3 linked regions of the Saccharomyces cerevisiae S288C genome follow. Changing the gene in region 2 together with the main gene of any one other region gives a genetic interaction. Each region holds a gene or a part of one and is shown on either strand. Other genes may lie near its edges. The genes, in order: VMA21, AGE2 and GCS1.

Region 1 (10,351 bases), on a different chromosome or scaffold from region 2:
AAAAATTAGATGAATTTATTGATTCTTGCTTATCGTTTTTGGAAGATAAATCTGGCGACAATTTGACTGTGGTTATTAACTCTCTTGGTTGGGCTTTTGAAGATGAAGATGGTGACGATGAATATGCAACAGAAGAGACTTTGAGCCATCATGATAACAACAAGGGTAAAGAAGGCGACGATGATATTTTAAGCTCCATCTGGACTGAAGGACTACTAATGTGTTTAATAGTTTCTGCGTTGCTATTGTTCATTTTGATTGTTGCACTTTCTTGGATATCTAATTTGGATATCACATATGGTGCGTTGGAAAAATCAACAAACCCAATAAAAAAAAACAATTAATCGTTATATATACTCATATATTTGAAAGAAACATATGTAAGATTGGGTTATTTGCATATATATCCCAATCATCCATAACATTTAATGCTACTTTTTTTTTATTTAGCCTCTACTATTTTTCTTGTATATTCTCTTCTAGCAACATATACTACTCAATCAGTCTTCCTTTTTATTACCATCAACTTTGTGATCTTCAGTATCCTCGCGGAACGCTACAACAATGTAAACGATTAGAACAACATTGGCCATTGCAGCAGCTAAACCTCCACTAATTAAGGTATTTGGCGTAAATTGCTGAATAATGAAAAAAGTGAGTACGGGCAGTACCACCATCGCTGCAGTAAACAGCATAAGTTTATTAATCACCGCACGAGGAACATCTACAGCCATTATTTGATTCTTTTGAAGTCTTGGTTAGTTTCTACTATTGCTTTCCAGTATTGCGTTCATTTTAGCTTGCAGGTTAGTAATATATAGTGAGAGCTCTTTTGCCTTTCTTTTATTTGAAAAAAATAAAATAACCTAGAAAATTATCAAATATCGAAGACAAACAACCAAAATAAAAAAAAAGGTAGAAAATTGAATTTTCCAGCCAAGGTATTCCATATTAAGAAGAAAAGATGGTTCAGCAACTAAGCCTTTTTGGATCTATTGGTGATGACGGCTACGATTTACTAATTTCAACTTTGACCACAATATCAGGTAATCCTCCGCTACTGTATAACAGTTTATGCACTGTCTGGAAACCAAATCCATCTTACGACGTCGAGAACGTGAACTCTAGAAACCAATTGGTTGAACCAAATAGAATAAAACTTTCCAAAGAGGTGCCATTTTCTTACCTGATCGATGAAACAATGATGGATAAGCCATTAAACTTTAGAATCTTGAAATCTTTTACAAACGATAAAATCCCGCTTAACTATGCTATGACACGGAATATCTTGCACAACACAGTTCCGCAAGTCACCAACTTCAACAGCACAAACGAAGATCAAAACAACAGTAAGCATACAGAAGATACTGTAAATGAAAGTCGAAACAGCGATGACATCATAGATGTCGACATGGATGCAAGTCCCGCCCCTTCAAACGAGTCATGTTCCCCTTGGTCATTGCAAATTTCAGATATTCCTGCTGCAGGAAACAATAGAAGTGTTTCAATGCAAACGATAGCTGAGACTATCATATTATCTTCAGCTGGCAAAAACTCTTCAGTATCCTCGCTCATGAACGGATTGGGTTATGTATTCGAATTTCAGTATCTTACAATTGGTGTGAAATTTTTTATGAAGCATGGTTTAATACTTGAGTTACAAAAAATTTGGCAAATAGAAGAAGCAGGCAATTCACAAATAACAAGCGGAGGGTTCCTTTTAAAAGCATACATCAATGTTAGTAGGGGGACCGATATCGATCGTATAAACTATACAGAGACTGCCTTGATGAACTTAAAAAAGGAACTACAAGGCTATATAGAGTTAAGTGTACCCGATAGACAGTCAATGGACTCGAGGGTAGCACATGGAAATATTCTAATATAATCATTGGCACCTGGGCATATTTTTACAAAATTCACTCATATAGTTATACAGAACAACAGTAACCACTTTTAATGTACAGGTATTTCTATATCTACAAACAAAAATGTGTAGTTATATATCTAATGTTGCTATACCGAGGAATTATAAAGTAATAAAGATGTTAAATTAAAAGACAAAATTTTTGAGAGGCTATTGGAAAAGAAGAGAAAACTATTTCTTGGAATCTAGTTTATTCAGTTTAGCTTTTTGTTTGGCAATTTGCTTCTTTTTCTTTTTTAAGTTCTCAGCTTGTTCCTCCTTTTTAGCATTAGAATACTTCATTTTTTTGTAAAGTTTCTTTTGTTTGTTACTCATCATTATCATTTTCAATTTCTTTTCTTCTTCTTCTTCATCCACCTTTCTCTTTTTGTTCTTTGACTTATTGACATCCTTATCAGCTTCTGAAGTTTCAGAATATTTGATACCTTGTGCTTCCAATTCAAGCTCTTTTTGAGCTTGTAGCTCTTCGTCATCGTCATCATCTTCTTCTCCAGCAACAACTTCTTGATCTTCCTCCTCAACTTGATCTTCACTTTCACTTTCACTTTCACTTTCTTCTTCTTCGCCTTCTTCGACAGGAGCAGTTGGATCGTAACCAATAGCATCACCCCATGGGCTTAAGTGAGGTGGAAGAGCCTCCCCTGGAAGATATTTGTTGGCAGGTACCAATTCGCCTTTATTGATACAATCAAATATCCACTGTGGCTGAATATACGTTCTGCCAGCTACCTTGTTTTTCAAAACTGGCCTGTCAACAATTTGATGAGTGACCTTGGACATGTCAATATCCTTCTTATTTTCAATTTGGTCCATAGCAGCTTCACTGATGACATTACCACCACAAGATAAGATCAAGAACTCAAGAATATCGATCGGAACTTCTCTGCTAACGTAAAAAACAAATGCAGAAAACAAAGAAGCAACAGGAGAATCGTACTTACTTGGCTGTATTAAGATGTCACCCTTGTTCTTATTGTTATCCTCGAAAGTATCTAGTTCCGTTTCCTCATTTTGTTCCTTTTCTTGTTCCTTTTCTTGTTTCTTTTCTTGTTCTTCCTCCTTTTCTGTTTCATCAGTATTTGCCTCATCGGCATTCAAGGCAGACTTTAATGTCGATGCGTCCAAACTTTCAACTTTTACGTCTTCCTCAATCTCAGTTGGGTCAAGTTTTAGTAGGCTGTCTTCTTGTCTGGATTCTAGAATATATGATGACAAACCACTTATGATTTTATCCTTTTTAAGATCCAATTTTGGCGGATAAATCAACCCACTATCGGTGTATAACTTATATAGGACGAAATGCAATAGAGTCGAGTAGAATTCTAAGAAGGTCAACATAATTCTGAAATCAACGTCACTGGGGATGTTTTCTGGAAACTTGAATGGAACTAACCATCTAACTTCTTCACCCTTAATATTGGCTTGATAATAAACACCTTTAATGGATACAAACACTTTACGAACCAAGCGTTCCTTGGCAACATAGGCTAACCATTGATTACAGATTTTCTGAGCATCATTGATAATTTTCGAGGAAACCTGGTTGGTAGAGGGCAAATTAGAGAAAAGAAATAACATATTCAAAGCATCATCAATATCCCTTATAGCATCTGGGAAACTTGGATAACGCTCCTTGATAATATGGTCTAAAGTATAACTATCTCTGTTTTCCTCTAACCTTTTAGCAGAAGAGACTTCTCCCCTACCCAAAGCCCTTGTTAGTTTCCTAGCAAAAGTCTTGTGTTCTCTAAATTTAGCCAAAACGGGCTCATGCATTAGATATTGAATATCCTTAGCATAGTAAAAAGTAGTTGGTGCAGTAGAGCCCTTGTTTGCCTTCTTTTTATTTCTTGGCTCTCTAGGATAGATACCTTTGAATATACATAATCTTCTGAAATCAGCAAGAGAAACCTGTAATTTTCTCACAGCTTGAGATCTGGTAATAAAGTTTCTTGCGTTACCTCTGGTGTTTTTCTTCTTGATTCTCATTGTATAAGTAGGATACCGCTGTTACTATACTATTTTCTACAGGAATAAAATGTATTCCACCAGCAGGATTTACTACACATCTCTAATTAACCTTCCAAAATTTTTCATTTTTTCTCATCTCATCTCATCGCAAAAAATTTTCTTTAATTTTTTCAGGCAATAATAATAGTCACCACAGACGACATGACATTATTCTGTAAATATAACATCAAGGAGGTAATAGTGACTAGCATTTAGGCTTTTAGATCGAACTATTTGCACTTACCCATAGTGCTAGAACGATGTACAAAACATGGCGTCTATGCAGAACACATACAGTGGGTGGGTTATGCCATGATGGAAGTCATCGGTTCGTATCTACGGGAGGGGCAAAGATTGGTAAAAAATTTGAAAATATGAATCAAATAAGGGATTATTTATCAAGACCTGTATGGTCCGTCCACGAATATTTAGGCATAAACACTAAAGAGGAAAAACTAGAGCCACCGTCTGCTGAAGCTGTAAAAAAATTGTTGCGGTTATCAGGTCTTCCCTTGGAAGGAGCAGATATTAAAGAAATTCAAATGCGACTTGCCAAGCAATTATCATTCATCAACAAACTCCATAACATACCTGTCGAAGGTGAAAAGCACACCAAGGAATATGATGCTCGGTTGGTGCAAAGAAATACGAAACAGCTGAACTACACAAAGCTACTTGAAGGCATCAGCCACCAAAAGCAGGATGCTGAGCTAGGAGAAGTTAGCGGATCTTGGAAAGCAACTGGACTTGCCGCGGAATCCAAAAATGCATATTTTGTTGTCAAAGAGGGACTACTCAAAAACAGGAAGTAAGACTTAGAAAAGTAACACATACGCTCTATTCTATATATTCTTTTGCCTATGAATTTTCTTGTACATGTACCACCACGATAAGGCTGAAATATTTTTCAAATGCATAAATAAGATTAAGTACATAGAAGACATAGCAGTATTTACAATATTTCGAATGAGAATGTGTCTTTTTTTAAGTGATTAAAACCACCTACCAGCAGCCTGAAGGCGACGCTGCCTTTGTTTCTCTACAGCTTTACTTATATACCATCCGTACAAGACCCCCATCATAGAGCCACCTAAATGCGCAGCGTAATCAAATGACCCCCATCTTAAAGCACAACCAGCTGCATTCCATGCCACTGAAGCCAAGAATGCTACCCAAGCCCCACCTGGGACTGGGAAAACAAACAGCAAAATTTTAGCGTGTGGGAATAGATATGAAAAACATCCTAAAACCCCAAATAGCGCTCCACTGGCACCCAAGCTAGGTCCGACAATGGCTAGGCGTGCCAGTTTTGGATACCATAACGAAAACAAAGAACCTGCAATGGCACTATTCATATATAAGGAGAAAAAATTGGATGCTCCCAACATTGTTGCGAGTGAAGTACCAAAGGACCACAACGCTAGCATGTTCATACCTAAGTGCCAGAATTCTTGATGTGAAAACGCACTTCCGATTATCGAAATTTTGCTAGTTACGTAATCCTTTTGCAGCAACATGTACTTCTGTAGAAACCTCCAGCATTTGGGTAGCTGCCATAGTCCAAATACGGCAACATTGATGCCTAATAACGCGTATACCAGATTCTTTGGATGCGTCTTAAAATACGTAAAGGGTGGAACGTGCTCGAACAAATAAGGGGAGCCAAAATATATTCCTGCCATTAAAGAGAGCCCCAAAATAGTCATAGAGCCCAGAGGATTGCCGCCGCTTCTCTGCTGCTGGTACTGCTGAAACCTGTTCAAACGTACGTATCGATTAGTAGTTTCTTCATTGAATATAGGCTTCCACCTTGATTTCAAAATTGATGTTTGAGAAAAGAACCGTTTCGGTATAATTTTCTGAAGATTTGTGACATTGTCCTCTAAGTTGGGAGCATTTTTGAGTATCGACGTGCTCTGGGATCTTCCAATATATGATACAAAAGTCCTCGAAGGTGAAACCGAAATATTACTGCGGAAAAAAATTCTTGTAGCAGGTCGAAGACCGAGCATAACAGAGCTTACACCTGACATGTTCACACTTGGGCAATTTATTACTTTTCACTGTCTGTATATGTCAGTTGCGAAAGCTGTACCCTTTTCAGTCGTGATTGCCACCTTTTCTATTTCACCGCCAATTATACTTCCAGACAAGAATTTAGGCTTTTTTCGCTCCGAAAATCCGCATTTATGAGAGTTATATGAGGGATCTTCACCAAATCCTGGCAAATATTGCTTTAAATATCTATATAAACACGTACAGATGTTTTAGGGTGACATAAAATTGATAAGCACGATTTCATGCTTCAAATTCAATAAGGTTGGACTTCTCTTCCGAGGAATTTGCCGACAAAGGCTCAAAAGACCTTTCTTGTATGGCTTTAGTGCTAGTTTCATTGGCATCGTCGATCTCAAACCAGGAACTTTGTAATAACTCTTCATTCTCGGGTTGATGCTCTGACGTGAAATCATCTAGATCATCGTACTTTTCTTCTTTGGTAGTTATTGAACTTGCAGCGGCTGTTGGCGTACTCTCTACAGAAGCAATGCTGCTCCTAGTTGCCACCGAATCGACACGACGACGAACTTGCTCAGCAACTCTTTTGCCGTCTGCCAATATACCGTCAAACATACTTCTGAGGACTTTATTTTTGTTATCAATGTTGACATGTTCGTCGACGTGAACAGATGATCGTAAAGTATTAGAAAAGAAAAGCTCGTAAGTTTCATCTGCGAGGATGATCATTCTAAATGTTGGCAAATCTATTACTTTTGGATGGGTGGGATCTAGGGCTGCATTTGCCTTTATGCTTTCCAGTTGTTTTTGTTTTACCGTTCGCTTTTCTTCGCCTTCATCATCAGACAAGTCAATCAAGTTTACCTCCTCCGCGAGATCAACTGCTTTAGCATATTCAAAAGATCTTTGTAGGAAATTGCTTGCAGCTTTTAGGTATCTTTCTGCTTGTTCAACTTTATATTTTTCCTCATCAATAGTAACCCCAGTTGGTAACTCGATTTGGTTCATAGTGGCTATCTCTCCACCGCTTTCCTTGATGATGTTTTCAGCAATATCATCTTCAATGCGCTTTTTAGTTAACAGATCTACATATCTACCGCTCTTCCAAGGTTCCGTTAGCAGTAGCAGCCCTTCCGACAACTGTAGCACTTCTTCTCTATGCAATTCACCATCGCCATCTGTATCATATAAAGAGAAAAAATAGTTTATAGCTTGTAAAAGATCAACAGTTACCAGTTTATCCAAGCCTGTTACCACATCGTTCAATGTCAACTCGCCGATATGAGCAGAATCCCAGTTATCAAATAACCTTTGCAGAAAATTCCTTTTTTGTTTCCGGAAAGCTGGATCTTTGTCCTTTTCACACGGTCTACAGGAGTCACAGAATTTACTCAAGAACTGAATGAATACTTCGAAACCCATATTAGATGATCCCGTTCCCATACTAATTTTGTAGGTTTCTATACTTTGGTAAAACATGTCATAGATATTGGACAAGTCATCACTGGACAGGTTGAAAGTTTTTGGCATATGGCGCAGTTGCGTTCTTTTCATGAAAGTCTCAATGTTTTGAAAAATACCTTTCTCATATTTGTGTCTTGCATGCATTGCCATTTCCTCGCTGATGACACTAAACTCTTTGAAAGCCGTAACTAACAGCTCTTGAAATTTCGTGATTTGTCTATATTTTATATCGCTTGAATCTGGGTGAGCACTTTGTCCCAGAGTTTGGAAATAGTGCTTAATTATGGCAATGAACATTCCATCATCATCGGCTTGTAAGATATCATCTGCATTTATCTTCAGAACTGCTAATGCCACCTGAAATAGAGTAATAGAACCGTTCATAAAAAAAATATCCATTATTCTAACAGCATATTCTAGAGGCATTGAAGTGAAAAACAAAGACAAAAACCAAGGTAAAGACACCACAGATAGTTGAATATCATGCTGTAAAATGTATTCCCAAAGAACCGGCATTCTGTCCTCTACAAAAGACTCGAACACTCGTTGGTCTAACAATGTACCGTACATCGTCTTTGAGTAATAACCTGGAACATAGATGTCACATAGATTACACAAGCACCAAAAAGCCTGCTCTTCAGACATAAAGATTAAAAATCCTGCAACAACTATATTCATGGCCTGGCAATATCCAACATCAGGGTTCTTCCACGAATAAGCTGTCAGAACATTTCTCAACCTTTGAATACCTTCTTCAGTCTGGTATGCTGAGTATTCGGGCAGCGATCTCTTCAAATCCTTCTCAATTTCGTCGATAGCTTGCGATGTTTTACCAGCATTCTCGTTTAATATCCTTTCGTACTCCCCAGAATTTGCATAACGCATATACATTGCACCTGAACATAGTTCCCAAATTTCACCTCTCATTCGATTTGGAACACCGATTCTGATTAACTTTCGGAACATAGGAGTTTGCACAACTGCCAAATTCCTTCCATTCTCTCTGAAATAATCGAACCATAGCCTCAATTTAGCCTTTTCTTTTACCATAGTAGGATTACCGGGATACTTGAAATGTTGTCCTAGACCTGCCCTGGGTACAGTTATGTCCTTTTTACCTAGAATATTTTTAGCAATTAAGAACTCCGAATATGAGGTTTCTAGAAAAGCAGGTAAAGTTTTGGCATTAGGAATATTTTCTTTCAAATTTAGTTTCAATTTGTCACAAAACTGCTCCGATCTATAACGTATACCGATAAATTGAATCAGAACCTTTGCTCCTGTGTACAAAGTTACTAGAAGAGCAAATTCATATGATTCGGATGGCGACCTCTCTACACGTTTAATGGTAGAAATATTCAGTATTAGTACGCACGATGAATGATCAAATGCATCTCGAAATACCAGAAAATGAGGTGTTAAAAACAATCTCCCGGAATACACATAAGCAGTTTTTCTCCCTTTATTGTTCACTCTATCAGAATGCCCTTTTCCATCTTTAATGGAAGTTGCAAATGAAACTTCTGCATTCGTATCTTCCAAAATGTTTTCATTAGCTGGAAGTTTATATTTTAATCTGAATTTCTCATCTCTGGTTAATGTTGGAGTGAAACTGTCTGCCAGTTTATCCAAAAAGGGTGCCTTTTGACGTAAAGAATCAAAAAATGACATATCCTATCCTTTAACTAATAATTGTATCAACTCTGAGGTTGTTCGGTGCTTTAATTGATGGATCAGTGCTTTCAAAATGTACAATTTCTTAAATGTTGTTGGGCCCTTACCAAGCAGATTTGTTCAGGCCTTTTCTTATTGAAGTTCTTTTTCCCAGTTGCAGGAGTCGGCCGACCTTCTGAAATAATATGCTGTGCATTAAATACTAACGACGCTGACAGAGAACGCACTAAATTTATTCAAATATGTATCATAAGATTGGTACAAATAACTATGCTACTAACCTTTATTGAGAGAAATTCCTTCCTCTATGGCTGAACTAATTATATGATTCATCAACTCCGTCATGGATTCAAAATCGTGGACCGGGTTAGCGCAAGAGTATATGATACGCAGTGTTGTTAAATAATGCGACTTAAAAAGCTGATTGTATGTGCCTACGTCAATTCCATTAAGCCAACCGTGTGCTAGCGGATAGAAGAATAGACCAGCATATTTTCTAAAGCGGTTTTGCGTTCCTTTTTCTCGATCCTTGCCTAGTTTTCTAGATTTCCATACTGTTTTCGTCTTCTTTATCATACTTGTTGACTCTTGAACTTCAACAAGCCTACTATTATGATGGCTTTGATCATCCCACGGTAAACGATTTGTTGGAAAATCAAACTTGGGCTTGACAATAGTAGGATCATCAAGCCCTCTCAACTCTCTTGCAGAAAGACCCAGAGCCGACAATAGTGACATCCTTTGCTGTAACGACAGTTCTGAATTGAATAGAATATTTATAGCGCCATTCACCTTCTCTGGAAGGACGACCAGTATGCTTGTTAGAGCGTTTATTCTCCACTGCTCGAAAAGCGGTTCATCAAATTCATTATTCAAGCACACAATGCTTGACAGAATACCTTGTGCATAATAGCCAACCTCTAACTGAAAATCCGCCTTTTGCCGTATCAATTTCACTGTTTGCTTCAGAAGTGGTATCAATGGAGCTTTTCGAGATTCCCCAGTTTTTTCGTATTCTTTCATTAAATCTTTTAAAAATACAATTCGTTTAACAATCTCCCGCTCATCGTTCTCATCTTCATCATCGCTATCACTGCAGTCCAATGTAAGGCTTTGAACATGACCCGAGACCTCAGTAATCTTATCCTTACCCACATCAGTTTGGGTATTGCATATGGATGGATTTTTTAAAGATTGGAAATCAATGATTTTATCATCGCTATTGCTTTCGAATTTGACATTCGGTATATTGATTTTAAA
Region 2 (11,014 bases):
TTGAACGCAGGTCCGGAGCGATAGTCTCCGTCGCTGCGACTTTTGCCGGGCTCTCTCTGCTGAAATGCAGTCTGGTATACCGACACAGAGGGCATCCAGCTCCGGTAGGAGCTGGATTGCTCTTCTTCGGCATCCAGCTTCTCCTTGTAGCGGCGAAGCTTCTTCTTGCCGACCTTATAATCAATATATTTGTCCCTCCATTCCGGGATGGCAGACTCGGTTAGATGGTCAGCAAACTTCATCTGATACGGTGCTATGGTAAAGCCCTTCCATTGCTGCCAACTGAATTAAAAAAAAAAAAAAAATAACTACCAACCATCAAATCAAACAAAACAAAACAAAAAAGCAAAGGAGAAAACCCATCTTGTACATGTACAGTCCCAAACTGTTGCGAAACCGTGCGATGATGTTCATGGAACTTGCGTCAAATAAAACCGCATCCCGTCCCACGTGACAAACGGCACCCAAAATCCGTTCTAGAAATGCCTCACACCCACACCGATGATGGGCTTCCGACTCGATGACTACCAACACATAGCCAGCCGCAGCGGCTGGCAGCATGTGCATGATAATGATAAGTGATGATGAATGATGGTGATAACGATTTTGAACAAATGGCTGCAGCGATAGCAACTAAGGGGATGGAAAGACAGATCTGGGAGAGATAACTGCAGGGTGTGGCACGGCAACACAAGGCTATTGTATTGCACTAAACGGGCAAGAAGCCATGATGTGCGTCTGTATCCCAAAAAAAAAACTAATGGATTGGCGCGTGTACTATATATATTCATATGTCGTGTGTTTGTATATGTGTGGGAGTGATTGTGCGTGTATATGTGTGTTGGCGTGTGTGGTACAATGTGTGTGTTTTAATGTAGAAATGAGGTTGTAGCACGTGATCGGGAAGCCACAGTTTGCGCGGAGATATTTTATTTTTTTTCATCAGCGTAAGAAGAAAGCAACCTTGCAGTCTGTATCGTAAGAGAAGACTGCAGTTAAAGAAGTTTAGAGAAGAGGCTTGAGTATCGGTAAAGGGGTGTGTGTTTGGTGATTTATAAAGGAGAAGGGCATGAGGAGAGAGAGGCAAAGGATGATGAGTTTCGAGGACAAGGACAAGGACGACCTTGACAATAGTAATAGTAATAACAGCAGTGAAATGACAGATACGGCGATGATGCCACCATTAAAGAGATTGCTTATTACGGGCAGTAGCGATGATTTGGCACAAGGATCATCGGGTAAGAAGAAGATGACGATGGCGACGAGGTCGCCATCGTCATCACCCGATTTGGCGACAAACGACAGCGGCACTAGGGTACAGCCATTGCCAGAATATAACTTCACCAAGTTCTGCTATCGGCATAACCCGGACATTCAGTTCTCACCAACTCATACAGCGTGCTACAAGCAGGATTTGAAACGAACGCAAGAGATTAATGCTAATATCGCGAAGCTACCCCTGCAGGAGCAATCCGACATCCACCACATTATCTCGAAGTACAGCAATTCCAATGACAAGATACGGAAGCTGATTCTGGATGGGATCCTATCGACGAGTTGCTTCCCACAGCTTTCCTACATTTCGTCACTCGTTACACACATGATCAAGATCGACTTCATCAGCATTCTGCCGCAGGAGCTGTCGCTGAAGATCTTGAGTTATCTGGATTGCCAATCTCTTTGCAACGCCACGAGAGTGTGCCGCAAGTGGCAGAAGCTCGCGGATGACGACAGGGTATGGTACCACATGTGCGAGCAGCACATAGACAGGAAATGTCCCAACTGTGGCTGGGGGCTGCCTCTTTTGCACATGAAACGTGCGCGGATACAACAGAATAGTACAGGATCTAGCAGCAACGCAGATATCCAGACGCAAACTACGCGACCTTGGAAAGTCATCTACAGAGAACGGTTCAAAGTGGAGTCAAACTGGAGAAAGGGCCACTGCAGGATTCAGGAATTCAAGGGCCACATGGATGGTGTGTTAACGCTCCAGTTTAACTACAGGCTTTTGTTCACAGGCTCGTACGACTCCACCATAGGTATATGGGACTTATTCACGGGGAAGCTAATACGAAGGCTCAGCGGCCATTCGGACGGCGTCAAGACATTATATTTTGACGATAGAAAGCTGATTACGGGCTCGCTCGACAAGACGATCCGTGTTTGGAACTACATAACCGGTGAATGCATTTCCACGTATCGAGGCCACTCGGATAGCGTTCTGAGCGTAGATTCATACCAGAAGGTTATCGTTTCCGGCAGTGCTGACAAGACGGTCAAGGTATGGCACGTGGAGTCCAGGACATGCTACACCTTGAGAGGCCACACGGAATGGGTTAATTGCGTCAAATTGCATCCGAAAAGCTTTTCATGTTTTAGTTGCAGTGACGATACCACAATCCGAATGTGGGATATCAGGACCAATTCATGCCTAAAAGTGTTCAGGGGTCATGTAGGGCAGGTGCAAAAGATCATACCGCTTACCATTAAGGATGTAGAGAATCTAGCCACCGACAACACTTCTGATGGCAGCTCTCCGCAGGATGACCCAACAATGACTGATGGTGCAGACGAATCAGACACACCGTCGAACGAGCAAGAAACTGTCTTAGATGAAAACATACCTTATCCAACACATCTACTATCTTGCGGACTGGATAACACAATCAAACTATGGGACGTCAAAACCGGTAAATGCATAAGAACACAGTTTGGGCACGTGGAAGGTGTTTGGGACATCGCCGCTGACAACTTCAGAATTATAAGTGGTTCTCACGACGGAAGCATTAAGGTCTGGGACTTGCAAAGCGGGAAGTGTATGCACACGTTCAACGGTCGAAGACTACAAAGAGAAACTCAGCACACACAAACACAATCCTTGGGTGATAAAGTCGCCCCTATCGCTTGTGTTTGTATTGGAGATTCAGAATGCTTTAGTGGTGATGAATTTGGGTGCGTAAAAATGTACAAATTCGATCTCAATGATTAGGACCTGTGTGTGGTCTTTTCTTGGTCAAAAACATCCGTAGTACCTCGAATATATATGCTTACATATATAATGAAAAATACATAATAGCATTTTACATTTATTTTATTTCCAGGAAAAAAATAAATCGCTAGCGTATCACTAGCCTTTTCCATCTTCAGTTTTTTTCCTTCCTCTTTTTCGTCTCGATAAAACTCTTGACCATTAGATGCTATTACTCCCCCACGGAGCCCTTCCCACGCTAAGGGGGATGTCAAGGGGGGGACTGAAGATAAAGCTTATTATATTGACGGCGATGATGAAGAGGGCGTACGCATAAAATGTCGTACAAGATCCATAATCTGCAATATTGTTCCCTCAACAGTACTAATAAATCCAAAGGGCGAAGGTACTTTATTATATAAACGCGCACGGCCATTGTATATAAAGGCGATTACATAATAGAATACTTATCGATTCCGTAATCCTTGAAATATAGAATATACATAAAATAGACAAGAACCCAACAGTTGAGGCGCCAGCTTTGGTAATAGCTTAATAATAAATAAAAAAAGATAATATAGCTAGCTAGTATTATTGCTTTTATCCGTATGGCCACCACCACGCAACCACAAAATATACTGATGGATGAACCTTTAAATCTTCCTAATAACAGTGCCCACAACAATAACTATGGAAACATAAATGCGAATATAAGAACTTTTGCTGGTATGAGCATGCACATGCACCCTGCCAGGCTGAACTCTCTGGAGTTTTTGCACAAGCCCAGGAGACTATCTAATGTAAAACTGCACAGATTACCTCAGGACGAGCTTCAAAGAAATACGGACATGAATAAGGGAATGTATTTTAATGGGAAACAAGTTCATGCCCATCACCCGTTTATAAATTCTGGAGCGAACTTTAACGCACATCATCAAGACGTCAGTAAATTAGGCGAGGAGGAAGACGAAATCTCTCCTCTATCACATGATAATTTCCAGTATGAATCCGAGGAAAATGGTAATCCTTCACCTCCCATTTACAAGAAATCTGGAGAACTGGTTAAGAGTTCATTAAAAAGAAGATCCAAGTCCCTACCCATTACTCCCAAATCTATATTCAACAAAACTGGCTCTAAGAGTAAACATGTCAATTTAGATCATGTAGATACTAGGCTATTGCAAAGAAGTAAAAGTGTCCATTTCGATCGTGTTTTACCAATAAAGCTGTTCAATGAAAATGAGAAACCCATAGATGTTGGCAAACAAATGGTTCAACAAGATGTTCTGAATTTCAAGCATAAGCCTTTGACGAGACTAAGTGCCCTTAATGGCGGTAGTGATAGCGTACCTATAGAAGATTTACTATCTGAAAACAACCAAAACGAATATGGAGATACATGGCTACAAAACCCGAAGGGTGTATTCCTATTTGGTACAAATTCTAATAATCGTAGAAATAAAAAAAAGAAGTTTAAACTAAGTGACGATGACAGTGATATTGAAAATGACAATGATAGTGACGACGCTATAAACCGTTTAGTAAGGCAACAAGACAAAGACCAAGCTCATCTTGCGCACGGGTTGAAGAATTTGTTAATAAACGATGACGACGATTATTTAGAAACAAGAACAAATTCTGCTAAATCAGGAGCCAACTTGTTTATTGGAAACTCTAAAAGAATTGTTGGTCTTTACAACAAGAACTTTCCAATATTAAGTGACAGGAACCGTAAGAGTTTAAAACTTAACATATTTCTGAATCTTTCCCGTGGAAGGCCCGTTTTTTTGCAAGAAATTACGCTACTAACTGGCTTCCACAACATGGTTATAATTGGCAAAGTCTTTGTGAAAAACATATACTTTGATAAGAAGATTATCGTAAGATATACATGGGATGCATGGAGAACTTTTCATGAATCAGAATGCGTGTATTTTTCTAATGCCAATGGCATCTTACCAGGAAGCAATATGGATATTTTTAAGTTCTCCATTGATGATATACACAATCCAAATGATAAAGATAGCAATATATCACAATTGGAGTTTTGTATTCAATACTTAACTTGGGGCGTTGATCGTTCTAGGAAGGAATATTGGGACAATAATGATTCGGCAAACTATAAAATTGACGTGGTAACGAATGAAACGAGGACAGGGCCCACAACAGACGTCAATGATAACTACGAGATGAAACATAGTCTTTTCAGAAACCCATTCCATTAAAGAAAAAAACAAAAACTAATAGTATTGTTTTACATATACAAAAGAAAAAAAAAAGATAAGAATACGTACTTTCTATTTTTATTTGAAGGTCATTTTCTTTATATAAAATAATATACTGGAATGATGTTCTTTTTGTTGCTTTCTATATTTGCTTTCTTTTTTTACTTTTTATTCAACTCCAGACGTTCTTAAATAACTCGTTATCATCCAATGAAATGTTAGAACTGGAATTTGAATTCATACTATTATTATTTGTAGCGGTAATTCCAGTGTTCACGAATGGTGACGGAGTATTACAAGGCTGAGGTGTCGTGGAAGTGAAAAATGAGTTCTGGCTTTGAGTCTGGGCAGAAGGTTTTGAGTATAAAGATAAAATGGATTTTTTCAAATCGTTCCTTTGCCCAAATTCACCGACTCTGTTGCCAGTCTTGGTATTAGCAGCACCTATGCTTGTTGCAGAACTAGTTACACTTGTATTAGATGTAGTCTTAGAAAGCGATGAAACCTGTAGGTTTAATAAGCTCGTATTACTCCTTGAGGTGCTTAATAAGTGGGAAGGTGGTTGTGTTTGCGTCTTTTGTAATGAATTTGAGCTCTGGTCCAATCTTGCATTCGAAGCAGGCAACGAATGATTCGCAGACGGCTTATGCAGAACTGGTTCAGTAGAATCATTTAACCCTTCAATACTGGAGAGGTCACCAATCCACTTCTTATATTCATATTTATTCTTGATGAAATTTTGTAAACTGCTCGTATCAGTGATTTTCCTCTGTTTCAATTCATCAGCCAAAGTAGCTTCGTAGTATGAGTTAGCTCTTAAATTGTTTTTGAACTGTATCAGTTTCACCAAATGTTCTTCCTTCCATGTATCCAGATCAACAGATTTCACTTTCGAAATGTGCGTTCCCAATGATCTATGTATACCAGCACATTTAATGCAAATGAAAACACCAAGTGACCAGGAAGCCCAGCGTGGATGTAGTTGCGCCTTACAGTCGGCACAATGACTGTTTCCTGGATCGCGTAAAAGAGCACTTAATGCCTTCTTGACTGGGACTGACGTCGACATCGCTTGTAAATTGCCCCACGTTCTATGCTCCTTTGTACAGTTGAAGCAAGTATTACCTTTACTTTTGTTACTATTAGTACCGATCTTATACGTATTATCGAGTCGAAAATCGTCCAGCACGAAATATGGAAACGGTGCGTTTAGGTGACTAAACTAAATAGCGTATATATTATATATGTTCCAATCTATATATATATATATGGCACTCTGTTACAGTTCCTTATCTTAAAACACAAACACCTGGTCTTCCATCTTGGAAAGCGGTTTGGAACGTCTGAACCCCAAGTCCACGGTACTTCTTCTAACTGAGGCAACCATGGCTGGAGGACCACAGATCAAAATTTGAACGTTGTCCATTGTAGCAGCGGGCAAGTGTTCCTTGATGACATCCTTGGTAATGTATCCTACACCACCAGTCCAGTCTTCACGGTCAGGAGAGTCTAAGTAGTAAACTATCTTAAATTGGGAAGGCTTCATGGCCACCAACGCTTCCAGTTCCTTCTTCAACAGAATATCCTCCTCATGGACGTTCCCAAAGACTAGAGAGACCTTGGTAGTGTCGTGAGGGTCCATGGCAATAGCTTTCATGATCTGATACATGGGCGCAATACCAGTACCACCAGCAATCATCCCTAGATGGGAACGGCAGTTTCTCTCATAATGATAGTTCCCACGAGGGCCCTTGATCTGGATCGAGTCACCTATCTTCAACTCTCCAATCATCTTAGAAACGTTACCTGTGGGGTAAGACTTCACTAGTAATTCAAAGTTTCCCTTTGTATCTCCATCCAACGATGTGGGCGTATACGATCTGGTAATATCCTTACCATTGATATTGGCCTTAATTACGATATGCTGACCAATTGGTAAACCGAGTACGTCGTCAGCATGAGGTAGCCCGAACTTGTACATCGAAGTATTATGCGTTAAGATGGTTTTTTCAACCAGCGGAAATGATTGGAAGTCATTCCTTTTGGGATCCAGCACAGGCTTGGTCTTCGGTCCGATAATGAACTTGAAGAGCAAAGGCACGACCACGATCACGATGACCACCACAAGCTTTTGAGCATCAATAGCCATCTTCGATTGCTTAATTGATTGAGTCTCTTGTTGAAGAGCCAGTTGAATGCATACTTTCAACACTTTTTTTTCTCGTTCATTTTTTCGCCTTATATAATAAGAATATTTATACATATGTAGATAATTTAAAGAAGTAGAAAGAGCCCTTAATGGTACCGCTTTACGAGGAAATTTAGCACTGTTACTTTTTGGAGAGTAGTGCAGTCTTAGAAGGGCCTTTGAGCTTGATGTACACGTCCGTGCCCCAGCCAAGTAAACTTTGAACGTCAATCTTGCCCCCAAACAGTTCTAGGTACGTCTTGCACATTGGTAGACCAAAGCCCATGCCGGAGACGTTGTTGATTTGCTCGCCGGGCAGATCTGTAGACTCAGAGTCAGCTGATTGTTGGGTATGTGTAGAGTAAGAGTAGTTGAACATGAGGGCCTCTACCTCGGGCGTGATCCCACCACCATGGTCCCGTATCCGTAAGTACAGCTCGTCATCGTCTGGCTTTAAAAGATTGATCTCTATGGGCATATGTTCCTTTCCAAGAGCTATCTGAGCTTCAAAAGCGTTCTTGAATACCTCTGTCATAATATACTCCAGAATGGGCGGAATGCACGTGAATGTGATGTCTTGTGATGGCGGGTGAATTAGGACCGGGGTCCGCTGAGTGTTGAACTTCACAAAGCATATATCATTGACATAATCAGAAACGTGCTTGATCAATTGTGCTATGGGGAGGTCCCGGTGCAAGATTCCAATCATCCTTTTGTTCGTGTCACCTTTGTTCTGTGCCATCAACGACAAATAGTGCGTCACAAGCAGCTTCATCGTGATTCTCTCCTTCAGGTGGAAGTTCAAGAACTGCGAAATTTGAAACTTTGGGTAACACGATTGGATTTCCTGAAGACCTTTTGCCAATACCACAATGGCGTCCTCGTGGTCGTCCAGCAGTTCTGTGAACTTGGCCTGTATCTTGGGAGGATTGTGCAACTCGTACGGGTATGCGATTGATAGCAACGTTTGCAAGCTTTTCAAATACAAAGAGTTGGTTCTCTCAATATGAGGGTTGATTACCGCATTATACGGTAGCCTCTGAATGGCATTAAGCCGTTTACACGTCAATGAAAGCAACAGGTTGATTGTCTTGATCGTCAGCATGTACTCCTCCTTCTTGGTCAGCGGCGGCCTGTATTGCAGGAAATACTCGTAGTTTAGGGGCGCAATTGGTTTACTAGCGTAGTCCTGTATCAGCAGCTCAATGTTCGACCTAATCTTGTAATGCTGGTCGAACGACAGTTGCGACAGCAGCTCGTGTGAGGGTCGCTGGCGATGTGCCCAGCGCATTCCCCCACATTTCCATGAACGCATAATCTTCCACATACTACCGTGAAGGCGTCTTGATACCACGTCTTCCAGTTATGGTCTTGACTCACCAATGTTCTCAGTTTAATGTTGTTTGCTTCATACTGGCAGACATTTTCCCTTATTACCGTGAGAAGCGAGCGGTGGATTAATCGGGATGTCAAAAACAAGAAAATTGCAACCTTCTTCACCTATAACCTATATGATTTGTAGGCAGAGGAGTGGAATAAGCAACAAATCATAGTCATCAATGTCGTTTAATGCCTTCGCCAGCTCTTTGAGCAAGAAATTACAGGAAATATCCACAAGTGTTTCCGAAAAAACCCAGGAATTGCCCAGTTTGGCGCAATCCACCCAAAGAATGGTCCAGGAACGTTTGGGCCAGGTGACGGACATCTCCCAATTGCCAAGAGAGTACACAGAGCTGGAAGATAAGGTTGACACCATCAAACTGATTTACAACCACTTCTTGGGTGTAACTGCTATCTACGAAAACGGATCGTACGATTACCCTAAATACATCAACGAATCCGTCAACGAGTTTTCAAGAAGCGTGGCTTCCAAGTTGACAGAGTTGACTCATGCTACATCTGCGTCTGAGGCACAAAACATCTTAGTTGCTCCAGGCCCCATCAAAGAACCCAAGACGTTGAACTACGCCCTCAGTAAAGTGGCTTTGAACTCCAGTGAATGTTTGAACAAGATGTTCCCCACCGAGGAACAACCCTTGGCTTCGGCACTCTTGCAATTCAGTGATGTGCAGGCTAAGATTGCTCAAGCTAGAATTCAACAAGATACCTTGATTCAAACCAAATTCAATAAAAATTTGAGGGAAAGGCTCTCTTTTGAGATCGGTAAGGCCGATAAGTGCCGCAAGGATGTCCATTCCATGAGATTAAGATATGACGTGGCAAGAACTAACTTGGCAAACAACAAGAAGCCAGAAAAGGAAGCTTCCTTGAGAGTCCAAATGGAGACTTTGGAAGACCAGTTTGCTCAAGTCACTGAAGACGCTACTGTGTGCTTGCAGGAGGTTATTTCTCACGCTAACTTCAGTGAAGATTTGAAGGAATTGGCCAAGGCTCAAGCTGAGTATTTTGAAACCTCGGCTGGCCTAATGAAAGAGTTCCTATCCAACTCATTTGCGGAAGAGCCGGAAGCAAAGCCTGAGGTTGCAGAAGAAGAAAAGCCACAGACAGCTATCTCTATGAATGACGAAGACGACGCTTAATAGCCGCCCTGTTCTTGTCTTTCTCTCTCCTTCTCTATATATATATATTTACTTAATACAATATCATATTCTCTAGTGTCGTACGAATATTATCATTTATTTGCTGGCTTTTGTAGTGAGTATATTTTTTGTAGAGAAAATATAATTACTGGAAGAGAAAAAGCTACTGAAAAAAATTTCGTAACAGTCACCAAAGGGCAAAGTGAGCAACCCAAAAATGGACGCTACTCAACCGCAATACGAACTATCCGTAGTAACACAATGCCTAAAGTCTGCCATTGACGTCATCCAATGGTTGATTCCTACTATTACTAAGTTCAGCCAATCACACCCGTTAGTTTTCCAACTATTGTTTATTTTCTTCACATTTTATGTCTTTTACAAGTTGTTGATGAACTTCATTACTCTGGTCAAAAGATTCCTGTATTTGACGTTGGTAGTAACATGTATCGGTATTTATATGCGTGGTTCGCAGCAGTTTTTGACTGTGGACCTGTTGAATTTCTACAATTTCGTCATGTCAAATAGATACTACGCATTTAAAATTTATACTCTGTTTATTAATGCCCTGGAAAGAGAAATCAACACTGTTTATCATTTGGCGCAGATGAAAATGGAACAGTTGCTTAAATAGAGCGAAACGCCTCTGCTTACTCGGAACATCTTAAAGTAATTACATATCTTAATTTCTAAATATTCATATAGATAAAGAACGTTTTTTTTGCTAGATTCCTCCCCTAGTCACTATCAAATATTGAGCTATTTTTGGTGACTTGTGTTTTCCAAATTATTCATTACAATTGTGACTTGATTTCTGAAGTTTTAAGAAAAATTGCAAACTAAGTTATTACAAGCGATTTATCCGGTCGCGATTGAAGAACTGAAAACAACAGCAGCAGCATTGTACCAAGAATCCCAAGATGCTCAGGTGTGCGGTCAAGAAGTTTGCATATTTTGCCACCTTCCTCACTATCGTCGCTAATATTTACATCTATACTTATCCATCTTTCCATCCAGAACAGTGTTCATGGAACTGCTCTAACAAGAACGCACCACTACAGAAAGATTTGACTTTTGTGGACAAAGTGAA
Region 3 (11,176 bases), on a different chromosome or scaffold from region 2:
TACCAATGGTAGTACTAGTGGGTGATAGTAGCAAATTTCTCTATGAAAATGAATTGTTGCTCTGCAATGATGTTAATGTGGACATGACATGAATTTTCGCGATATGTTGATGTAAATAATAACATGATTTTCGTGGATCATTTCGTAAACCATAGGTTTATTTCGTGAATTACTAAGAGAAAGGCATAGAAACAGGACTTGCGAACCCTTTCTGTAATATGTCATAATATTTCAATACACGCACAAAAAAGGTACGTTAATTTCCATGGTAATCGTGTATTTAGTTACATCACTTTTCGTGACACACATGAATACATTTGCCCTTAAGCCCTGTGTAGGATTGATTTCTTTTTTCGTGACGCACATGTCTTCAACTGCATCAATTTCCATGAGACACACACGTCTACCATGTTGTCAGATCTCATGAATCTTTCATGTATTCATTCACATCATTTTCGTGGATCCTCTAATTGTATCGAGATCACTTTTCGTGATCCGCTAATCAGCGACGGTCACATTAGGTTTGCCAAGTCAGGGTATGAACCATACGATCAGTTTTCGTGAACCTGGTACGTATATTGTGGCGTTTGTGTATATTTTCATTCTTTGACAACAATCAATACCAACCTCAAATAGGAAAAGTAATAAGTTTGGCGTTACACCCCAAAAGACGCCAAACGGATCGAACTTACTCAATAGCAATTAGCGAGACAAAACCTACGTTAAGACCTGTAACCGATTTATCAAAGCACTCTGCGGTTCTTTCTTGGGAATATTACCTGGACATTTTGTGCCCTCAAGAAACGAGGCTCTACGAGCCTGTTGGAGCCCCTCAGACATTAGCCGCCACGAATCAAACTTTTTACGCGATTCGGCCCAAATCAGTTTCTCACAGATCATTCGTAGAGTGAAAAAGCACATCGATTATTTGATACCCCTTTGGGTTAATTACTGTTGAGGTCTTTTCTATTTCTGATTGAAATTTTTGCTCCAGCATTATAGCATGCTGGTTTTTTTTTTAAATTGATGTATCTCATCGCAGGCACGGGCAGTACAGTGCCCTGAGCGTAGGGAAAAATGAAAAAAAGGATGTAACTTTTAACATAATTCCAGCACGCAGCGATTGGGTATAATGAAGATTGTTAAGTTCAACAACATGTGAAATTCTTAGCTCCGCAACTTGCTTGAATTATGAGCTCTAAGATTCAAGAAGTAAATAGGTCATATAATGGAATGATAGTAGTACTTGATAAAGGAACCATGTGATCTTACGTTGATATGAAAATAATTCTCTCACAGAAGTCAGTTTGTATGACTAACATAGAGAGTAATTGCTTTTCGGATAAAATCGCACCTAACAAAGATTACCTTTTGTAAAGCCTCCAGAACAGCTATGAATGTTCGTTATTCTACGCACTTTCTTTCATACATCTTGATCCGCCTTTTTTGATGTAGGTTTTAACGCGGCAAAACATATTAATTTTTCTGATTTGGAAAAATAAAGAGTTAGTTCTGCCACGCCATTTTAAGTCCAAAGGCACAATTTTACGTTGGAACTAAACGGTAAAGATCAAATATCACCTTTATTCTTTTTTGGTATGCATCGATTTCTTTGCCAGTAAGAACTACGTGCAACTCTACATTAGATCAAAATATAACGGATCATAAATGCAAACAACATTTGTCCAAAAGAAACAAAAATGTTGGCGTTTGTCTCGAACATGACACAATACTCCTTGATCGAGGGACATTGCCCGATTAACTATGATTTATACTTTTTACTACAGGTACTCGTTCTCCCTACTATTTCACCAGTATACGGTCGTTTTATGATTCATTTATTGCCTATAATGGTAAAAAGGGACATCTTAACCTTACGTGTTGCAATGAGACCATTCTTTTCGATTCATCAACTGTGAAATTTCTGAAATCCAGTACAATGCGAAACGCTACCGATAATGGCACCGTCTTTTGAATTATGAGGCCCAGATATGGCGTTCAATCTTCAACAAAAAAATGAATATCAAAACTAAATTCTATCTGGATAACAATCTTTCTTTGGTTTGCAGAAATATCATTAAAAAACAATCCATAACTACTAAGGAAGGGTATAAATGGTTTGGTTTACTAATTTTATATTTTGATTTGATTAGCAATTATAATCTCTAATATACTATTTCTGTAGCCAAAAATCTGCAATGTCAATAAGTAGCAAGTGCCGCTTACTCGTGAGAATATCAACCTTATAGCATATGTTTTCTATTTTTTTTTTTTGCTTATGGAGATAATGAACATTGTACACATGAACAAAGTGGTAGTTCTCTCTCCTTGATTTTTTGTGCTTGCGATATATATAATTGTTACATTCAATGGCCATGCTAAATAAAGGTTTTAGCTTTGTTTCACTCGTGCCCAGGATAATTTTAAGGCGCAAACATCCAAATAATGAAGAAAAGGATAACGATTGTCCCAGGTCTAAAACATTTTTTAATAATAGCCGTCATTAGCCTTGCAACAGTACAACAACGCCGATGGGAAAGGATTGCAATTCTATTTGTAATTAATAGGTTGTATAATAATTTACGATATGGCCTTGTGGTAACTATTTATGAATACTGGTGTAGACTTATTTATAATCCTAGAGAGTAAACCTCTTCTTGTCAAGATATGAAAAATACAAATTTAGAGACAGAAGTATTACGTGTAAACTTTACAGAACCACTTCTCCATTATAGCTACAATGTGAATTGAACTTTCCTTGAATGTTGAGAAAAACTATATTAAAATTAGAAATCGTCCCATTTGTCCTCGTCCTGTTCATTCTTCTTATCGTTATTATCAATCTTTTGATATTCTGTATGGGTTGTATTCCCTGCTGTAGAGCTATCCTCTGCATTACCATTGAAATTTTTAGTGAAGTTACTAAATGCTTGGAATCCATAACTACTCGTTTCTTGAAACTTTTGGCCAAACTGGGCAGCTGCTCTCTTCGTTTCTTCTGACAACTCTCCGGATTGCCATTGCTGGACGTGAGGCTTAATAACCGTTTCGTTTACGTCCTCGAACGATTTGGTTACAGCGCTGGAGAAGAGGCCCCATCCTCTGCTCAATGTTCCCAAAGGATCAGCTTGAAAATTTTCCAGGCTCAAAGTATTGCTGGACCCTGCAGACCGTTCTTGTGGAGGTTTTGCGGGTGTACTTCCAAAGCCCTGATATTTACCACCTTGAGAAGGGGGCAAATGATCTGGTCTAGATTGGTTCTTCTTGCCCAGCTCAGCAAAATAAGCTTCGTTCTTCTCCTTTTGAAAATTGGCACCATTACTAGAGTTTGCTGGTGTTGCAGATCGACGGTTCTCCAGTGGTGTCCCTTCTCGACTTTGAGCAACACCAGGCGTAGCGGATGCAGCGGTTTGAGAGGTTGCTGATAACTTGGAAGCATCAAAATCCAAATGCTCACGCTCTTCAAATACTCTATCTTCGCAAAGACATGTTAACTTTTCTTTATAATCCTCTGCGACGGGGTTATCGTATTTCACTTTTTGTGGTAAACTCAGGTCAATATTATGCGACTTGAACCATTCAGTCAAAGGTTCGTTACCACCTTTTTCCATACGAAGAAGTTCCTCCGGTTTAAACTGATCCATAGTGATAGATCTTACAAAAGATATATGCACACCAAGCCCTCTATGGATACCGGCACATTCAAGGCAAATGAAAGCTCCAAACTTAGGCGTGGCCCATTGTGGATTTGGCGCACCACAATCCATACATTTCTTATTTGCACCAATCTTTTGCAATTGCAAAAGACGCCTGCGGGTATCTGGGTCCACTTTCCAATCTGACATGCTCTATAATCCGCGATAAAATTGCTCAATTGGCACCATTTAAACTCAGAATCACGTCCATATTTCTGCTTTCATTCTTGATATAGTTGTGCAATTTGGTTCTTGACAAAAACTGGCGTTGCTTGCGGGTAACCGCGCGATTTTTAAAGTGCCAAACTGCGAAAAGAATATAACAAGCTTTCGAGCAAGATCAATGTACCCAGCAAGTGAAATAATAAAACAAGAGCCCCAAAGATCTGCTTATAATTGCTAGAAAAATATATTATTAATCATGAGCACTGCTTCAACACCGCCAATTAACTTATTTCGTAGAAAGAAAGAACATAAACGTGGGATCACATACACAATGTTACTATGTGGGCCAGCAGGTACAGGAAAGACCGCCTTTGCTAACAATCTATTGGAAACTAAGATCTTTCCGCATAAGTATCAATACGGTAAATCAAATGCTAGTATTAGCTCTAACCCAGAAGTAAAAGTTATTGCTCCGACAAAAGTTGTTTCATTTAATTCGAAAAATGGGATTCCATCTTATGTTTCTGAATTCGATCCAATGAGAGCCAATTTGGAACCAGGTATTACCATCACCTCCACTTCATTAGAACTTGGGGGCAACAAAGATCAAGGAAAGCCAGAAATGAACGAGGATGATACCGTGTTTTTCAACTTGATTATGACGCATGGTATAGGCGAAAACTTGGACGATTCGTTGTGTTCTGAGGAAGTTATGTCGTATTTAGAACAACAATTTGACATTGTTTTAGCTGAGGAAACCAGAATTAAAAGGAATCCGAGGTTTGAGGACACCAGGGTTCACGTAGCATTATATTTTATTGAACCCACTGGACACGGTCTGAGAGAAGTCGATGTAGAGCTCATGAAAAGCATCTCCAAATACACAAATGTACTGCCAATAATAACAAGAGCTGACTCATTCACCAAGGAGGAGCTAACTCAATTCAGGAAAAATATTATGTTTGATGTGGAAAGATACAACGTCCCAATTTACAAATTTGAGGTTGACCCTGAAGATGATGATTTGGAATCCATGGAAGAGAATCAAGCCTTGGCATCCTTGCAACCATTTGCTATTATAACTTCAGATACCAGAGATAGTGAAGGTAGATACGTTAGGGAGTATCCGTGGGGGATAATATCAATCGACGACGACAAAATTTCGGATTTGAAAGTTTTAAAAAACGTCCTGTTTGGTTCTCACTTACAAGAATTCAAAGACACCACGCAAAATTTGCTTTACGAGAATTACCGTTCCGAAAAACTATCGTCCGTGGCCAACGCTGAAGAAATTGGTCCTAATTCTACAAAGAGACAGTCAAATGCTCCAAGTTTAAGCAACTTTGCCTCTTTGATAAGCACTGGTCAATTCAATTCTTCTCAAACTCTTGCAAACAATTTGAGAGCGGACACACCAAGAAACCAAGTAAGTGGAAACTTTAAGGAAAACGAATACGAAGACAATGGCGAACATGATTCAGCAGAAAATGAACAGGAAATGTCTCCCGTGAGACAGTTGGGTAGAGAAATAAAACAAGAAAATGAAAATTTGATAAGATCTATCAAAACAGAATCTTCACCAAAATTCTTGAACTCTCCGGACTTACCAGAGCGTACCAAGTTAAGAAATATTTCAGAAACCGTTCCATATGTCTTGAGACATGAAAGAATTTTAGCAAGACAACAAAAACTGGAAGAGTTAGAGGCCCAGTCAGCTAAAGAATTACAAAAAAGAATTCAAGAATTAGAAAGAAAAGCACACGAATTGAAATTGAGGGAAAAACTAATAAATCAGAATAAACTAAACGGTTCATCATCTTCAATCAATTCTCTACAACAGAGCACAAGGAGCCAAATTAAAAAAAATGACACGTATACTGATTTAGCCTCTATTGCATCGGGTAGAGATTGAGTTGTATCTGTACAAAATCCAAAGCTGAGCAAATAAATAAATAAATAAATGTATAAGTTACCGAACGGGGGTATTTTTACTTTTGATCAAAAATTTATGTACCAACTACAAAGTTTCCTCAGCACAGCCTTCAAGAAGGGAACACACATACAAACAGTGTCAAATAATTGTAGGGATAAATTTAAATATGGCATAAACTAAATAAGTAGAGCATGAAAAAACTGCAAAATCCAAAAAGTAAAAACGAAGGTCAGAAAGTAAAGCAAAAGAAAATTAATAAAGCAATACTAAATCTATCATGATTTCCCGTAACTTCCATTAAAGCTGTAACCAGATTTACTCCTACTGTTTGAGCCTCTAACGCCTAATGGATTTTTAGAGAAGCTCAACCTGATACCTCCTTTGTTGTTGAGGGAAGGGCGGGGGTGAGGTAGTTGACTACCATATAATTCTGCCAATGCTCTAGTGGCAAAGCTAACATCCTCAAATTCTACAAAACAAATTGGACCATGGCCATGACCGTTGCCATGACCGTGAGAGTTCATTTTATTCCTGAAGGATAATCTACGAAAACCTTGCTGATTAGAAAACAATTGCCTTAATTCTTGTTCCGTGGCATCCGGAGGTAGATTACCCACATAAAGAGTATTACAAGGAGGATTTTGGTCCGCGGGATTGGCTGGTGGTGGCACCTTGGCTAGTAGTGATAGGTCAGCCTGTGAAATAGTTGTGGAACCTGCCACATTTGTTTCGTTATTTTTCGAAAATGCAGAGGCAGAAGCTGTAGAAGAACATTCTTTCTGTCGTGATATTGTACTGGTGTCTTGTTCACTCACTAAAAAGCCTTGATTCACCTTTTGGTTGTTGAATATTGAAGACCCGTTAGGAGCAGAAGATTGTGGGTGGCCATTTTCCGTTTGGAGATTCAGGTCCAAATTGGAAGGAACATTCGAAACGCTCTGCTGAATACTTTGTGTCTTAGTTGAAGCATTAATTTGGTTCAATAAGTGATAATGCGGTAGAGAAGTCGCGGAATGTATTACTCCTGAATTGTTCAGATTAGGTTGTGATTGAATATGTGGAACATCCTGGCTAATTGAATGGTGGGATGGAGGCAACAGATTAGACTGATGATTTTCTTGGCTAGATAATTGAAAAAGAGGAATATTAGCAGTTGAGGAAGCATTCCACTCCATCACAGGCGTAGATGACATCGGAGGCTCTTGTAAAGATGCACCAAATGAAGAATTACCAACATCATTAACTAATTCATCACCATTCCAAATACTTTCATTTATTTCATCCTTTTCTAGTAGCAAAAGTGACTTGCCAGCGTCCTTCTGAGGTGGCATTCCTGCTGGAACTGGTGTGGTGGTTACGTTTGATAAATCATGTTGTGAGATGCTATTTCGTAGAAAGGGTACGGATTCTTTTCTTTGAGAGATTGTTTCCAATCCGAATGGGTCATTGAATGAGAAACGGAGGGATCTCTCTGAAAGTAATGAAGGCCTTGGCTTGGCCGCTGAAGGCCCTAATGGAGAGGAACTAGTTTTTCCATATGATATAGTATTAAAACTTTGATTTTGAATTTCATTTTGCGCACTGGACGACAATTGGTAATTCTTTGGAGAACTATTTGTAGTGCCAGATGAAACATGTTCTTGAAAACTCACTGGAAGCTGCGTTTGTTCATTTACTACGTCAATGTGAGACCTAAAGGGGAAACTAGGCCCAAAAATCTCAGACTTCGAGTTTAATATATTAGCATAATGGGTTACTAAAGAAAGGGATCCAAATTTGACCACAACGACTTTTTCATTGTCATTAAAGGGTTCTCTATCATCCCTTTTTAGTTCTATACTTGACACCCCAGTTGCTAGTGAAAATATACAATAACACTCTCTTAGTGTAATGTCTTTTGGCAAATTCCTCAGCAAAAGACAGTAGGGGCCAACATCCACATCATGTGGGGCTAAAGAATTGACGTCATTCCCGTTCCCTTTCCCCGTGGACATGGTCAAATTATGAAGCATAGAAGTCATAATAGGTTCTTTTGCAAAACCTTGCGGGTTCTCTCTTTTAATGTTAGTCTCGCTGTTGCTCCTAACTGCGGAAAAACTATATGCAGTTGGCATGGGATATGTTGCCTCCTTTGATAATGGAACGGTTTCTGAACTAGAACTAAATGCCCTTTCTATAAGAAATTTGGATTCGTTTAAATTCGTCTGATTATGCACTAATGACATTGTTAATTGAGAAACCTTAAGCGTTATTTTTCAGCGTAGATGTGGCAACTAAGGTTCCTGTTTTCAAAAACCCTGCTTTTTTGAAAAATGCTCGAAAAATAAAGAAAGAAGTCAGTCCCTTGTTTTAGCAAAGTGATAATTTGTGAAATATGACACAAGTAGAAGATAAACCTTTACACGCAGAAATAACAGCGGATTATATTTTGATTCTTAGATTTCCTAATTTCGTGAACTTTTAACTAAGAAGGAAAAAACAATTGAGATGAGATCCAAATGGGAGGAGTTTTGAAACAATTGTTTGCTATTATTTCAATGATTTAGTGTTGCCACCAGATGGGTCTATTTTCTGTAAAACTACCGGTTCGAGGCTCCTGCCGTAACCTTAATTGTACTTTTCTATGATTTAATCCAAATAACCATTCCATTCCTCTTTAAGTCTAAGAAACATTAAAAAACAAAAAACACCACGTCCGGGTAATGAAAATATAACGCTGGGTAATGCACGTGTTGATAATTACATCGTTTTTCACTAATATCGTACCAAACGAGATGTTTGCAGAAAGAACAAACCAATATTTTAAATAATCAAAAATCAAATTAGCTATTATTTCTCATTTGGTGATAATAATATATACATACATATATATATATATATATAAATATATAGGTATATATATAAATAACCTAAGACAAGTTAAATGAGTATAAAAAACCTTGAACGTAAATGAAAAAAAAAAAAATACTAGTAAATTGACAACATAAAAGACAAAAATAAATGAAAGAGGAAAGTGGTAATAAAGTGGTTAAAATTTGTTGTAGTTGTAGATAGGAGGAGTCCGCGTAGACAGTTATTCAAATTCAATTGAGGAAGAAAAATAGATTTCAAAGAATACTGGGAATTTGTTAATCGAGAAGTGTTTAAATTTCACTCCTAAATCCAAAAGTACCGCCAGAAATACTTTTTCTCACTCTACCCATGAAACTTTGTTTACCAGCCTGTTCCTCACCTTGCTCGTCGTCATGGTAATCTTGCTCACCCTCATCGGAACCGTACTGATGATGTCTTGGAGTGTGCTCGGCTGAATGAGTAGAATTATTATAGTCGTAGTCAGACCCTTTTGAAGAATTCTGTCTGCTGTGACGGTGATGATTGTGATGATGTTTTGATTTTCCGGAACCCATTGAACCCACCGACACTTTCCTTCCCTGAGAAGTTGTTTCATTATGAATTGAATAGGAAGTGGTTTCTGGGTAGGTGCCCTCAGATGGCTTTTGAGAACTAGAGGTGTTGGTGTCTTTAAATCCGTATGTTGGGACATGTGGGTCAATCAAACTAGGGAAATTACCAACTTCGGCAGCATAAGCGTTTGAGGCGTCGGCACCACCAAGGTCGGTTCTACGTTTGTTCTTCAAATCTACTTCACGCTTGTAGCCCGGTGCGTCTTCCTCTAAAACTTTCGCATTCTTATTGACATCAATATTATCGTCGCTAGAATATTCTTGATTTTGGGAATTGCCGCCAGAACCGTAACTGGCCTTTTGTTCTGATGATGGTTCCTGATCGTGAGTCATTCCAGTAATATCTTGTGATTTGGCATATGTAGGGTCCGCATTTTTAATATTATCGTAAGCAGCTGTTTCAGCATCCCCTGATTTGGAGTATGTAGTGTCTCCAGATCTGGAATTATCAAAGGCAGCAACATTAGCGTTTTCGAGATGAGTGTCTGTATTTTTACTATCATCAAAAGGGTTCGAGCTGAAGGTCTTGGATTTTGCACCCATCCTTCCGGTTGTATCTACGTTTCCAGTAGTACCTGTTTCCGGATTATTGGTGAAATCCTTGGCATCGGATGCAATATCCTGTGTTGTTTTTGCTCTTCTTGGCTCAATTTGGTCAATAAAATTAGAACGCGTTGGAGTTGGGCCTGATTTATTTTTGCTTAAATCAGATAATTTTTTGTTACCAGAAGTATTCGAGTATTCGTAATTGCCAAGACTCTCATCTCTTGCAGTCTCCATACCAGCACGGTTAGTGGTTTGCCTTGGAGACAACGGGTCTTCATCTTGTTTTTGCACTGATTTTGACAACGTATCAGGTTCAAAAGTACCTGGGATTTTCTCTCTCTGCTCATAATTGTAATCCGATGGTTTTCCCTGGTACGCTTTCTTAGAATACAAGTCGTTTTTCTTTGCATTTGAGTAGTCGTCAATATCATTCTCGTGGTAGTCTTCAACATCATCCAAATAATCCAACCCATATTGATGAGGTTTAGTAGAATCTTCATTCATATCTTCGTCCTTCATAGCAGGTGATACAACATTGTTTCGGGTGGTGGCATCATTAGAAAGCCCGGACCATTCTGCTTCATGACGGGGTGACATGTCAATATTGTTGTTCGTATTTTGAGAACCAGCTTGTGAACCGGCAACATATTGCAAGTTATCCCTACCATTATCATTATACTTCATATGTCCTAATTCGGTTCCCGCTTTAGGCATATTCTGAGATCCAGATGTACCGCTGTCGAATTTCTCCTTCATACTAGAAGGTATAACAACATCCTGCAGATTCTTATTTTTACCAGCGCTGGAACTATATTCAATTGGACCCCAATTAGAATCCGTCTTGGATTTAATGTTTTTCTGTTGATAATCATCGGCGGATTCCAGAATGTCATCTCTTTCAATGTTAAATTTTTCAGCCGCTCTTTCTGATATATTTTTATTATCAACCTTATTCTTTTCTGGGTGTTGAATGTTTTTATTGCTATCATGATAAGAAGGTTGCTGGCTTACAAAACCACTTGTCCCGACTGCTGCTTTGGGTTCAGGTTCCATAGTTTGCTGTTGGATTGCATCAGAACCAGAAACTTGGTCATTTTTCAATCCAGTTTGTTCGCTCTCATCCATCTTCACGTTCTGTGCAATTTCTTTAATTGTATCTTGAGGAGGACCAGTCGCAGTGTTGCCAGAGTACTTTCTACGATCTGCAGACTTCGAACTTGTGTCCGTGTAGACACTAGGGTCGACAGCGTTCATACCGGAACTAACATTACTCTTTGGGCCTGTACTTGTGTAAACACTAGGATCAACAGGGTTCACATCAGTACCAGTCATGCCCCGGAAACTACCAGGTATGACATCTCGATCTGAGTTGG

The links.
Region 1: mutations in AGE2 (region 2) and VMA21 together harm fitness more than expected from each alone (negative genetic interaction), as found in Saccharomyces cerevisiae (3 studies listed by BioGRID, with this or other methods).
Region 3: mutations in AGE2 (region 2) and GCS1 are lethal when combined (synthetic lethality), as found in Saccharomyces cerevisiae (7 studies listed by BioGRID, with this or other methods).

What each region holds. Positions count from the first base shown.
Region 1 is NC_001139.9:688,982-699,332, reverse strand, and holds VMA21 (Vma21p), read right to left. Parts: upstream 735-10,351; coding exon 501-734; downstream 1-500. Other genes in the region: VOA1 (Voa1p), read left to right, coding at 1-344; SRB5 (Srb5p), read left to right, coding at 965-1,888; mRNA-binding ribosome synthesis protein NOP7, read right to left, coding at 2,099-3,916; GTF1 (glutamyl-tRNA(Gln) amidotransferase subunit F), read left to right, coding at 4,198-4,749; rhomboid protease PCP1, read right to left, coding at 4,930-5,970; GTPase-activating protein MDR1, read right to left, coding at 6,236-9,088; TEL2 (Tel2p), read right to left, coding at 9,368-10,351. UniProt on the Saccharomyces cerevisiae protein: Functions with VOA1 in assembly of the integral membrane sector (also called V0 sector) of the V-ATPase in the endoplasmic reticulum. Escorts the assembled V0 sector in COPII vesicles.
Region 2 is NC_001141.2:267,582-278,595, forward strand, and holds AGE2 (GTPase-activating protein AGE2), read right to left. Parts: upstream 6,266-11,014; coding exon 5,369-6,265; downstream 1-5,368. Other genes in the region: SYG1 (Syg1p), read right to left, coding at 1-242; YIL046W-A (uncharacterized protein), read left to right, coding at 728-892; ubiquitin-binding SDF ubiquitin ligase complex subunit MET30, read left to right, coding at 1,070-2,992; putative protein phosphatase regulator PIG2, read left to right, coding at 3,580-5,196; CBR1 (cytochrome-b5 reductase), read right to left, coding at 6,491-7,345; protein kinase PKP1, read right to left, coding at 7,527-8,711; GVP36 (Gvp36p), read left to right, coding at 8,944-9,924; APQ12 (Apq12p), read left to right, coding at 10,142-10,558; TED1 (Ted1p), read left to right, coding at 10,845-11,014. UniProt on the Saccharomyces cerevisiae protein: GTPase-activating protein for the ADP ribosylation factor family.
Region 3 is NC_001136.10:48,329-59,504, forward strand, and holds GCS1 (GTPase-activating protein GCS1), read right to left. Parts: upstream 3,846-11,176; coding exon 2,787-3,845; downstream 1-2,786. Other genes in the region: septin SHS1, read left to right, coding at 4,117-5,772; WHI4 (Whi4p), read right to left, coding at 6,069-8,018; HBT1 (Hbt1p), read right to left, coding at 8,937-11,176. UniProt on the Saccharomyces cerevisiae protein: GTPase-activating protein (GAP) for ARF1 and ARF2. Involved in intracellular vesicular transport. Required for transport from the trans-Golgi network.